Linked DNA regions of Rattus norvegicus. The protein of the gene in region 2 interacts with the protein of the main gene of each other region in a pairwise test. Links are inferred from orthologs where the notes say so. Each region holds a gene or a part of one and is shown on either strand. Other genes may lie near its edges.

Region 1 (3,568 bases), on a different chromosome or scaffold from region 2:
CCCCAGGACAGATGTGATGCCATGGAATGCATTGAAGACAGGGTGGGGCAGCACGGGGCTCAGATGGCCTCAACATAGTTGGCTGGCAGCATCCCCGTGTCACCGGTGCGCTCTACGGTCCCATACATCCAGCCATCATCGATCTGCTGCACATTGACGATGGTGTCCCCATCCTGGAAGGAGACCTCGTCCTCATCGGCAGCGCTGTAGTCATACACTGCACGGTACCGTTTCTGGGGAGCACAGCCAATGGTTAGCCTGGGTATTTGATGTAGGCTCTCCCACACACACCCAGACCTTCTCCTGTGCTGGACAAGTGCTCCACCAAGTCACTCCCAGCCCCGTGTTTCTCTCTACCTCTCAGGGACCTTGAGGGAAAGAAACAATAAACCAGAAGATGGAGCCTGGGGTAGGTTCTGTGGTGGAGTCTCTTGTACCTGTTTCCACATAGCAACAGTAAAGTCCTATAGACTTGACACAAATCTATTGGCTTTTAAATGTGACATATACAGGGACTGAGGAGATAGTTCAGCAGTTGAGAGCACTGACTTTTCTTCCAGAGGACCCGAGTTCAATTCCCAGCACCCACCTGGCAGCTCATGACTGTAATTCCAGTTCCAGGGGCCCCAACACACTCACATACACACAAGTAGGTGAAACACCAATGCACAAAAGAAAAAGTAATAAATTCCTAAGAAAAAGTGCAATATACCATTCTGGGCATGATAAGATGGGATTTTGAATCTCAGCACTCAAGAGACTGAGATTTAAAACAAGACAAGATCCTCAGTTCAAGGCCAACCTGGGCTACATAGCTTGTATCCTTAGGTCTTGGGTTTAATTCTCAACACCACAAAACAAAAAAGAGGTATAGATAGCCTAATCACTTTTCAGATCCTGGTCCGTACATTGACTACCTTTTATGTCCAACCAGATGGCCATTGCGGTCTCTGGCTATCCTCTACACGAACGCCCAACACACCCCATCCCCTCAGTCTGCTATCCTCCTATTTACCCTACATGGGCACAAAGGTGAACTTCTCCTTTTTTAAAAAAAAAGGAGAAAAATGTTCAAGACAAGGTCTAAGCTATGTAACCAGGTTAGCCTTGAACTCCCAGTGAATCGTCTGCCACACCTTCCCAAGTGCTGAGGTTACACCTGTACCCAACTGCCAGGGTGATTTTCATAAAGCAAAAGTGCAGTGTAGTGCAGTGTAATGCAGTGCCGTGTAGTGCCGTGTAGTGCCGTGTAGTGCAGTGTAATGCAGTGCCGTGTAGTGCAGTGTGGTGCAGTGTAATGCAGTGCCGTGTAGTGCAGTGTGGTGTAGTTCAGTGTAGTGTAGTGCAGTGTGGTGTAGTTCAGTGTAGTGTAGTGCAGTGTGGTGTAGTTCAGTGCAGTGTAGTTCAGTGCGGTGTAGTTCAGTGCAGTGTAGTTCAGTGCAGTGTAGTTCAGTGCAGTGTAGTGTAGTGCAGTGTAGTGTAGTGCAGTGCAGTGCGGTGTAGTTCAGTGTAGTGTAGTGCAGTGCAGTGTAGTGCAGTGAAGTGCAGTGCGGTGTAGTGCAGTGCAGTGTAGTGCAGTGCGGTGTAGTTCAGTGTGGTGTAGTGCAGTGCGGTGTAGTGCAGTGCAGTGTAGTGCAGTGAAGTGCAGTATAATGCGGGACAATTTAGTGCAGTGCAGTACAGTATAGTGTGGTGCAGTGAAGTGCAGTATAGTGCAGTGCACTGCAGTGTAGTACAGTGTAGTGTAGTATCGTATAGTGTAGTGTATGTAGTGCAGTGCAGTGCAATGCAGTGTAGTGCAGTGCCATGCAGTGCCGTGCAGTGTAGTGCAGTATAGATTACTAGTCTCAAAGGCCTTCCTTCCCATGGGCTTACAGGTACCCAAAGGGCTTGACCTCATCTACTTCTTCCTGTCTCCAGGAACCTGGACCTTCCCATAAGACACTGAACATTCCAAGGATGTTCTGTTATAAGGTCTTTGTACCTGCTGTCCCCCTTGTACCATTTGACTCTGCTGCTCTGTCCCTTACCCTGCATAGGGCAGGCCATTTGCTGCCTTACCCTTCACACAGCCTCCTGTTGCCTCCACCCTAAAGAAAGGTCACTTATCCCAGGCCACCTTATTTCTCTTCTACTCTGACACGAGTTGCTTTGAATCCCAGCGTGGAAATCAGCCTAGTGCACCCTGGCGGGAGGTACCCCGGAACACCCAGGCCAGAGCTTCACACCCAGGGCCACCCAGCTTAGTGATGCTCATTTTCCCAAAACTGGTGAGTCCCACCCCAGGCCTGGCTCTGGCTCTGGCTCTGGCTCGTCCTACTCTAAGCCTGGCTCAAGACAGTAGCACAAGGCTACTTCCTGCTCACACAGAGACACAAGTTAGTATAATCCTTTTCTGGGGAAAGGGACATGGCCCTGGGGGTCAGAAGAACCCAAGATCCTGTGTATATTAGGTGAGAACTCTACATTTCACCTTTATCACTCATGCATGTGTGTGTGCATATGTGCACTGTGTGCATGTATGTGTGAGCTCTCGTGTGTGCATGTGTGTGTGCACGCCTGCATGTGTATGTATGTGTGTGTGCGTGCGTGCGTGCGTGCGCCCGTACACAGGTGCGTGCAGCTGTGACCTCTTTCACCCTTTCACCCCGGGGCTTCTCTATTCCAGACAATTACTCACCCCGCCGCCACCTGGGGCACTGCGCTGTATGGAGACAGGGGCTGCTGGCTCCTTGTACCCACCATAGGACGGGGTCACCTGCTGCTGTTGGGGCTGCTGGTAAACTGGAAGACAGAAGAGATGGCTCGGAAAGTGTTTTGCCAAATTCATTCCCCCAGCCCCTATGAGGTCAAAGGTATGAATTTCTAACCCCACTTGGGCCTTGCTCAGCACTGCTCCCCCCAAAGCAAAGGCTAGGCATGCGCATTCATTAGTGTCTTAGGCACGGCTGTCTGCTCCTTACAGCAGGATCTGCTACTCCAGATCTCCTGCTCCTTGGCGGGGGTGGAGATGAGATTTTTAGGGAGCAGACCTATATGCATAGATGCCTGTATATGTAGCCGCCCCCACTCTCTTGACCTCAGGCCCCCTCCTCCCCTCCCTACACTCACCTGGGGCACTGGTCGGGATATGGTGGGGCTGTGGCTGTTGCTGCTCCGTGGGCCTCCGGTAGCTGCTGCTGTCCTGGGCTTCTCGGCGCTCTGGCTCTATGCCTTCACCTCCGCTGGGCCCCATGCGGCTCTTCTCAAACTCCTCATGGTATTTGATCTGTAGGGCAGAAGGGATGGGTGAGCCAATCAGTCCTCTCCCACGGCCACTCACGCTGGGCATGGCAGTAAGTGCCCCTTGTGCTAGCTCCTGAGGCAGCGGGGCGGAGCAAGGCCACACACACACACACACACACACACACACACACACACACACACACACACACACACGGACTCCAGGAGAGCTACAGAAAGACCGTACCAGCTCTCTAAGTGATTTAACCACGACAAGCTAGGTAAACCTTCTTTGCAGCCTCCCCTTGGAGACGAGGTCTCACTATGTACACCAGGCTGCCCTTCA
Region 2 (4,187 bases):
GGCTCCTCTGCAGATCCTCACCATGTGTGGGTTCAACCCTGAGATCCTCTAAGTGGGGGAAATGCCACCCTGGGAGCGCTGTAGGCCAGCTGCCACCTCTTGAGTTCCTGGGTCACATCTGTCATTGTGATTAGTGGTAGTGAAAGACAAGGTGAAGGCCTCTGAGGGAGGACCCTCTGCGATGGGCTTTCAGAGTAACCTGTGAAATGCTCAGTTTGCTAAAGTGCTCGAGTACTATTTATCCCCCTCAAGATAGGGTCTCGCCGAGCGCAGCCCTGGCTGGCCTTGAACTTGAAGAGATCCACCTGCCTCTGCCTCCCATGTGCTGTGATTAAATGTGTGCAGGACACTTGCTTCATGTTCAAGTACTTTTTTTTTTTAATGTATGAATGCTCTGTCTGCATGTACGCCTGCAGGCCAGAAGAGGGCGTCAGATCCCATTACAGATGGTTGTGAGCCACCATGCGGCTACTGGGATTTGAACTCAGGACCTCTGGAAGAGCAGTCAGTGCCCGAGCCACCTCTCCAGTCATTTTTAAAAGGATATTTGGGAAAGGTGTCTCCTGGTGAGAAAAGAAAAGTACAACTTTAAAAAGCTTCTGGAAAGAAATGACAGAAAGTACAGAGTCGGGATACCGTTGACAGTGAGGCAGAGGCCGCTCAGAGCTGAGTCTGACAATTACTTGAGCTCTGAATCAAATGTTTTCCTAGTTGGAGACCAGCTCCCTCACCTCCTCATGAAGATGAGGATAGAGTTACTGGGTCATTTTGCTCCATCTCTTCTCTTGCTAATATAACCTGAGGTCAGCAGTTCCTTCACTGGCTATCAATACAAAAAGGGCCATTCCGGTTGAGTGATCAGAAGCATGACCTTCCTACAGGACTTCCAAATATACCAGGGTGAGGCCCATCCCCAAGAGTAAGGGGTTCACAACATGACATATATAATCTCTTGGAAGGACCACACGATCCAGGACTGAGGTGGTGGAAGGTAAGTCCGTCAGCAGCAGTGGCTATCTTGTCCTAGAAATCACTACAGAGCATCGGTAGTCATTTGTAAGTCCAGTGGTAAGTGGGCCAGCCCTGGCCCTTGCATAAGTCCCGGTGTCGAAGGAAGAAAGCCTGGACCCGGAACCGGCGGCCACAATGGGGACACGCGTGCAGAGCTCTGGCGTGGGTCTTCATGTGCTCTGTCAGATGATGCTTCAGCTTGAAGCGTTTATTACAGATGCCGCAGCCGAAGGGACGAAGGCTGAAGGTCAACATGATGTGTCGGTCTCGTTTCGGCTTGACTGCAAACCGTTTTCCACACAAGCAAGCAAAGCACTTTCCATCTGCAGGGGGTGTCCCTCCTAGCTTCACAGGCCCGTGCATAGCCTGCCCTGTTCCTCCGGGTCCTCCGCCCCCTGACAAGATTTCATTCCCATGGAGATCCACTGGTTTCCAGGATGGGTCTCCTGCCCCAGACGTCTCCCCTCCTCCTGAGGACAGCAAGTATCTTAGCTCCCCATTTTCCTCAGAGTTCTCTCCAGGCAGTACTTTGGTCTTTTCCTTTGCTCCTCCAGACAGAGTCCTGCCTCCTGATGTCTCCTCCTTACACTCGACGTTTTCCTGGTTAACGTATAAGATTTGGGAAGTTTGTACGGGAGGGGCAGGAGGATCAAGTGTTGAGTTCTCATCCTCTGAAGGTTTGCTGGGAAGAGTCGATGTAGGCAACGGGTGGGATCCGCAAGCCTGGGAAACCGCTCCTGACACTCTCTCAGGCTGAGGGGTCTGAAAGGGTGGGGCTGCTGACCTCTGCTCCTCTTCCTCCTCTACTTTGACCTGAATCTGTAACATTCCTTCTAGTTCACCCCCCTCCCCTCCACTGGGGCTCTCAGGGGCAGCAGAATTCTCTGTGGAAGCGGAGGACCGCCCTGGGTTCTGGAAAGGGGAAGAGCGAATGCACCAGCCTCCTGCAGATGTTGTGGAAAGAAGTGTGAGGCTGGAGGCTCCTCCACCAGATGAAATTCCACTGGACGTTTCTAGCTCTCGAAGAATCTCTGAGCACCGATCTACTACCTGCCACATCTGAAGGCCACTGGCCACGAGGAGATGGGCAGGAAGAGCATCCAATGGCAGGTGGAGGCTTCCTGAATAGATGAGCTGAAGCAGTCCCTCGAACGCATCTGCCTCGATGACATTCGGTAAAGTGAGTCGGGGCGCATCCCCCAATAGCAGCTTGTCATGGAAGTAAGGAGAGGCAGCAGCCAACACTGCTTTGTGAGCCCTCAGTTCCCTGCCCTGAACCAGGAGGGATACATCACAGAACTTTCCCTCCAGCCTATGGCGGTTCAGGGATTCCAGCAGCGAAGAGCTATGATGAGGGAAATCAATGTGGATTGTCTGTGGGGCTGGGTTACACCTCGGAGAAGAGGGTGCGGGAGGCAAAGGAGTCGAAGCATCCATGGCTACCTCGGAGGGAGAAATAAAACCCGTGGATGAAGACTGCAGAGGAAAGAGACTAGGGTCACACAAGTTCGGGGTATGAGACCTGCCTCAAGCCGCTCCCCACCGACACTTGAAAACTCTTCAGTGACAAGTTTCTGTGTATTAGTTCCGCCCACCAAGAAACCCAGCAAAACACTAACCAGGGTTTTCACTTCCAGGCCCAGCGGAAGCCAAGTAGGGAAGGGATGGCGCCCCGCCTCGCTGGCTCAGTCGCCCTCCGCCGCCGCTCGCCCCTCCTCACCTTGCTCGGACAGGCCGGCTCCGCGAGCTCCGGCCCCACGACTTCCCACCGACACGCCCCCACCGCACGCACGACCGCGTCGGAGCTCCTCGCATCCACTGCGCCTGGCCGGCCGGAAGCTGCCGCAGTTCCGCCGGACGCCACTGCAGCCAGGCGCGGAGGGCCGGACCTGGTTTGCAGCCAATGGGAGAGCGGCGGCCTACAAGACCTCTCCTCATTGGCTGGTCAGTCGGAGGGGCGGGGCTTTGGGCGGGCGGGCTGCTGGAGCGGCGGCGAATGTTTTCCGGGATGAGCGGCCGATGAGGAGGGTGGTTCTGCGGGTTCTGGGGTGAGGGGAGTGACTGGCTCCGCAGCGCGGTGTGTGTATCCCCCCGACTCTTGCCGCGCGAGGTAGGAGATGCGGCTGTCCTCCGCGTGCACGTGGGGCAGCCAGGTCAGAAGTCTGGAGCGCACACATGCTGAGCACCCCGGGTTCTTTCCTCCATTTCGCAGACAAGCGTCCTCACAATTAAACCCTATGTCGAGAGGGTTTTGCACTTGGAGTCTTTCGGGCGTTAAAAGCCGGTTCCCAGCCTCAGCGCCTTTGGGTCGAGTGTCCGGCGGGTAGAGAACGGGGGTAGGAGTTTCACCAGAAAGGCCCTGCCGTATATAGTTTTCCTGACTCGAGCAGTGTGTAGTGGAAGAAGACATGATTTTGTTTTACTTTTTCTCCCCCAAAGTAGTCCCTGTCAGCCTTCAGGTGGTTCTGGAGACCCCAGGCTAAAAAATCAGCCCCCCCCCCCGCGACAGACGCTTTTTTAGTCCCAGGAGGCAGAGGCAGGCGGATCTTGCTAGTTCAAGGCCACCCTGGTCTACAGAGTGAGTTCCAAGACAGCCCAGAACCACACAGAGACCCTGTCTTGAAAAACCAAAAATAAAAGTCAGCCCAGCGATAAAAGAACAATCTCCGTTTATTAAACATGATTTTTCTGTTTCACCACACACTCCAGAAAAAAAAAGGGAAATGGACCCGGGAGTGGGAGAAAAGAGGGGGTGTGGGGGGATGGGGGTGGGGACCAAGAGTCTGGGAGCAGGAGCAGAAAGGAGAACGAGTAAACAAACAGCAAAAAAAATGAGTAAGAAGATCTTCTCCCTACTCTTAAGGTGGTGGGTGGGGAAGGAAATGAGGGGTGGGGCTAGGGAGCCAGGAAGCTCTGTACAGAGGGGTCGCCTCCCAGCCCCCCACCCCAATTATGTACAGTACAAACCCCAGATAATTACAACAGCCAAAGAGGAGGGAGGAGGTCCAAGGGTAAGGCCTGATGTAGGGAAGCAGAGGAGAGGGAATGGGATAAAATTTCACATATTTACAACTTTTATATAAGTATAAATTTGGCCCCGGCTGGGTGGGTGTATGTAGAGGGGTAAGTTTGAAGGAGAGCTGTTCATACAAAAGAAAGGTCGAGTCTGGAGTCTG
Region 3 (3,077 bases), on a different chromosome or scaffold from region 2:
TCCATAGAGGGGGAGTTGGAAAAGAAAGATTTATGATGAATGGCAGGGTAGATTAGAAGCCTCTCATTGGATAGAGGAACCCTGGAGGATGAGATGCTGGTTTGGAAGACAGGATAATAAACCTGGCTTTGGATATGGGGATTTGAAGCACCTGTCTAACATCTGAGTAGATCAATTAGTCTGAGTAGAAGAGAAATTTTGAGGCTGTAAGATTTGAAGGGCAGGTAAAAGTAGAAATGTGGAAGAGTTATGTCTGGGACAAGGCATATAAGGTAAAGAAAGCTAGTTTTTCATTTAGGAAAGAAAGACCATGGACCCGTAAGATAACTGAGGTACAGAGTCTGAAGGCAGTATTGGGGTTATGATTTCATTTTTGGAAGTAGTGCATCCAGCTGAGGGTGTAGTTCAGTGGTAGTTTGCCCAGCATGTGCTTGACCCTGGGGCTGATCCCCAGCACCAAAAAGCAATGAAGTCCCATGTCCATTTCTTCTTACTCATTGCCCTTGAGTCTCTGGACTCCTTTTTTAGTGGAGCCACAGTTGTGAAGGGTCTCAACATTTCAGCACTTCAGCTGTGAAGTGATGCAAATTAATAGTAGGAATCTCATCTCCCTTGTGCCAAGCATTGTGGCCAACAAGTCCCCCCCCCCCAATAGACCCTCCTGGAGGTTCTATTAGCCTTTCTTTACAAATGAGAAAATTGGAGGCTCTGAGAGAACCAGCTTGCTCAAGATTGCCTTGAACTGAGGTCAGGTAGAATAAACAAGTAAAAGAGGGTGTTTTAGTGAATAAAGGGTCACTGGATCTTTACCTACCAACCAGATATAGCAGGCAGGTATTTAAGAATGGTCAGGGCTGATGAAGTTGGTCTTTGGTTAAAGGGTTCTGTCCTTTCCTATTTAGCTGACTTGGAGCTGGAAGAGATAGAAGATTTTCTTGGGGAGCTGATGACCACTGAGTTTGATACCGTTGTGGAAGATGGGAGTCTGCCCCAGGTGAGCTTATGGAGACAGCTGCTAGCCCCCTGCCTGCTCTTTCTCCCTATTTCCTGTTAGGGACAAGGTTCTTGGTCGTCATTCTTTTCTTGAGGTGTAGACAACATTCCCTATAGCCTTTTCAAACATTACCTTTATTTCTCTCCTTATATAATTTTCAACCATGTATTTTCCCCACACCCCACCAGCTGGGTTGGATCAAATTCCATCCCTATTCTAATAAACACTGCTCATCCTAGTGAGATGTCTTTCATTTTGCATCTTTAGTCCCTTTTTTCCTTTTTTTTTTTTTTGACAGTGTTTTACTCTCTAGCATGGGTAGCCTAAACTGTACTGTGTAGCCCAGTCAACCTCAAATTCATAGCAGTCAGCATGCTTCAGTCTCCCAAGTAGTGGGATTACAGCCGTGTACCACTTAGTCAATTCTAGTACCTTCCCTTCTAGGAGGCCCTCATTGAAGGCTTCACACCCTCACCCAAGCCCTTCAGTTGTTGTTGCTTCATTGAACTTTGTTGGGTTTTTTTTGAGACAGGATCTTACTATGTAATCCTGGCTGTCCTAGAACTTGCCATGTAGACCAGGCTGGCCTTGATCTCAGAGATCTGCTTGCCTCTGCCTACTGAGTGCTAGGATACAGATGTGTTTTATTGACAGTGTGTTACTGTGAAGCCAGGCTGATCTCAATCTCAAAATTCTCCTGCCTCAGAGGTCTCTCATTTATATGCATCCACCACTGTGCCTCTTCTTAGGGAGAAAAGAGCCCTGAAAATTCAAACCCTCCCCCTCTACTCTGCTCTAAACAGGCTGGCTTTATAGTAGATTGATAAATCTAAGTTTTGGGGTATTTTCTTGATAGGTGAGCCAGCAACTACAGACCATGTTCCACCACTTCCAGAAGGGTGATGGGGCTGCTCTTCAGGAGATGACCTCTCATATCAACCAAAAAAAGTGCAAAGTCACAGCTACCCCACTTAAGACGGCCAAAGAAACTGATGTGGCAGAAGATGATGTGGACAGCGTGGAAGAAATGGAGGTGAAAGAAGTCCTGTACTTGGGGCGGGGGTTATCCCCAAATGTTTTCTGGAAGAGTGCCTAGATTCACAGGGAAGTGGTGGCAGTTTGAGGGAGTGGTGTTATTTCCAAGGATAGCTCACATAGTCATGGAAAACTTGGGAGTAGAGCCTGGGTAATGTACTTAGTTATTTTTCTTTCATTTTCCTTCCAGGTGACAGCTACTAATGATGGGGCCACAACGGATGGGGTCTGCCCCCAGTCTCAACCTTCTGATCCAGACTCCCAGACTATTAAGGAAGAGGATATAGTTGAAGATGGCTGGACCATTGTCCGGAGAAAGAAATGAGCAGGGCAGTACATGTTTGGGGCCCTTGTTTGTTGGGTGTTATGAGAGACTTATAGGAGCTGTTTTTGGGGGAACTATACACCTCTGTTCTGGAAACCGTATCCCTTCTTTGTTCCCATCCTTCCCTTCAGGGGAAGAAAAGCCCTAAAGTCCTTGGTTGTGGGGTTGATGAGACCTATTCCAGCCCCTTGAATCTTAAGGTACCATATGAGAGATGAGACCAGGTTTCCCAGCATAGTGCCTCCTAGGTGCAGTGAATTGGAAGATGGGTGATAGGTGTGGATGTGGTTATAGAAGCCAGGCTTGTGGAAAGTAGGCAGGTACATTTATGGAAAGGACCGGAATTCCACAGTGGGAGGCTGGCTGGCTTGGCAATTGTGAGAAAAGCATACAGCTGGAAGAGAGATGTAGAAGTCTACATTCCCCAATGTCCCCACCCTAGCCTCCCACAGAGCATTCCCCAACCGACCAGAATTTTCATCCTCCTGGGAATTCTCCCCCTTGAATACCCTTGAGAGTTTGAAGGACTTAACTAAAAGTGGTGAACTTGGGAAAGTTGGGCTGTTTTAAGTCCAGGGATGAGGCTTAAGATCTTAATAACATAACACTTTCTTGTTTAATTCATGATTTAACCTTGGAATCAGCTTTCTGAGAGCTGAGCTTCAAAATTCATCAAGAGAGTAGTTTCTGCACCCTCCCCTCTCCCTTAGTAGCCTGGGACTT

What was found.
Region 1: the proteins of Zbtb9 (region 2) and Lasp1 interact in binary tests that used the Homo sapiens proteins (3 or more experiments, as listed by UniProt). The two-hybrid records come from large-scale screens. The link is inferred for Rattus norvegicus from reciprocal best matches to the Homo sapiens genes ZBTB9 and LASP1.
Region 3: the proteins of Zbtb9 (region 2) and Tsr2 interact in binary tests that used the Homo sapiens proteins (3 or more experiments, as listed by UniProt). The two-hybrid records come from large-scale screens. The link is inferred for Rattus norvegicus from reciprocal best matches to the Homo sapiens genes ZBTB9 and TSR2.

Annotation. Positions count from the first base shown.
Region 1 is NC_086028.1:83,325,957-83,329,524, reverse strand, and holds part of Lasp1 (LIM and SH3 domain protein 1), read right to left. Parts: intron 3,269-3,568; coding exon 3,112-3,268; intron 2,785-3,111; coding exon 2,681-2,784; intron 234-2,680; coding exon 60-233; 3' UTR 1-59. UniProt on the Homo sapiens protein: Plays an important role in the regulation of dynamic actin-based, cytoskeletal activities.
Region 2 is NC_086038.1:5,057,996-5,062,182, reverse strand, and holds the start of Zbtb9 (zinc finger and BTB domain-containing protein 9), read right to left. Parts: upstream 2,868-4,187; 5' UTR 2,732-2,867; exon of another isoform or gene 2,631-2,731; intron 2,488-2,630; 5' UTR 2,449-2,487; coding exon 1,051-2,448; 3' UTR 1-1,050. UniProt on the Homo sapiens protein: May be involved in transcriptional regulation.
Region 3 is NC_086039.1:23,509,644-23,512,720, reverse strand, and holds part of Tsr2 (pre-rRNA-processing protein TSR2 homolog), read left to right. Parts: intron 1-902; coding exon 903-994; intron 995-1,850; coding exon 1,851-2,027; intron 2,028-2,219; coding exon 2,220-2,354; 3' UTR 2,355-3,077. UniProt on the Homo sapiens protein: May be involved in 20S pre-rRNA processing.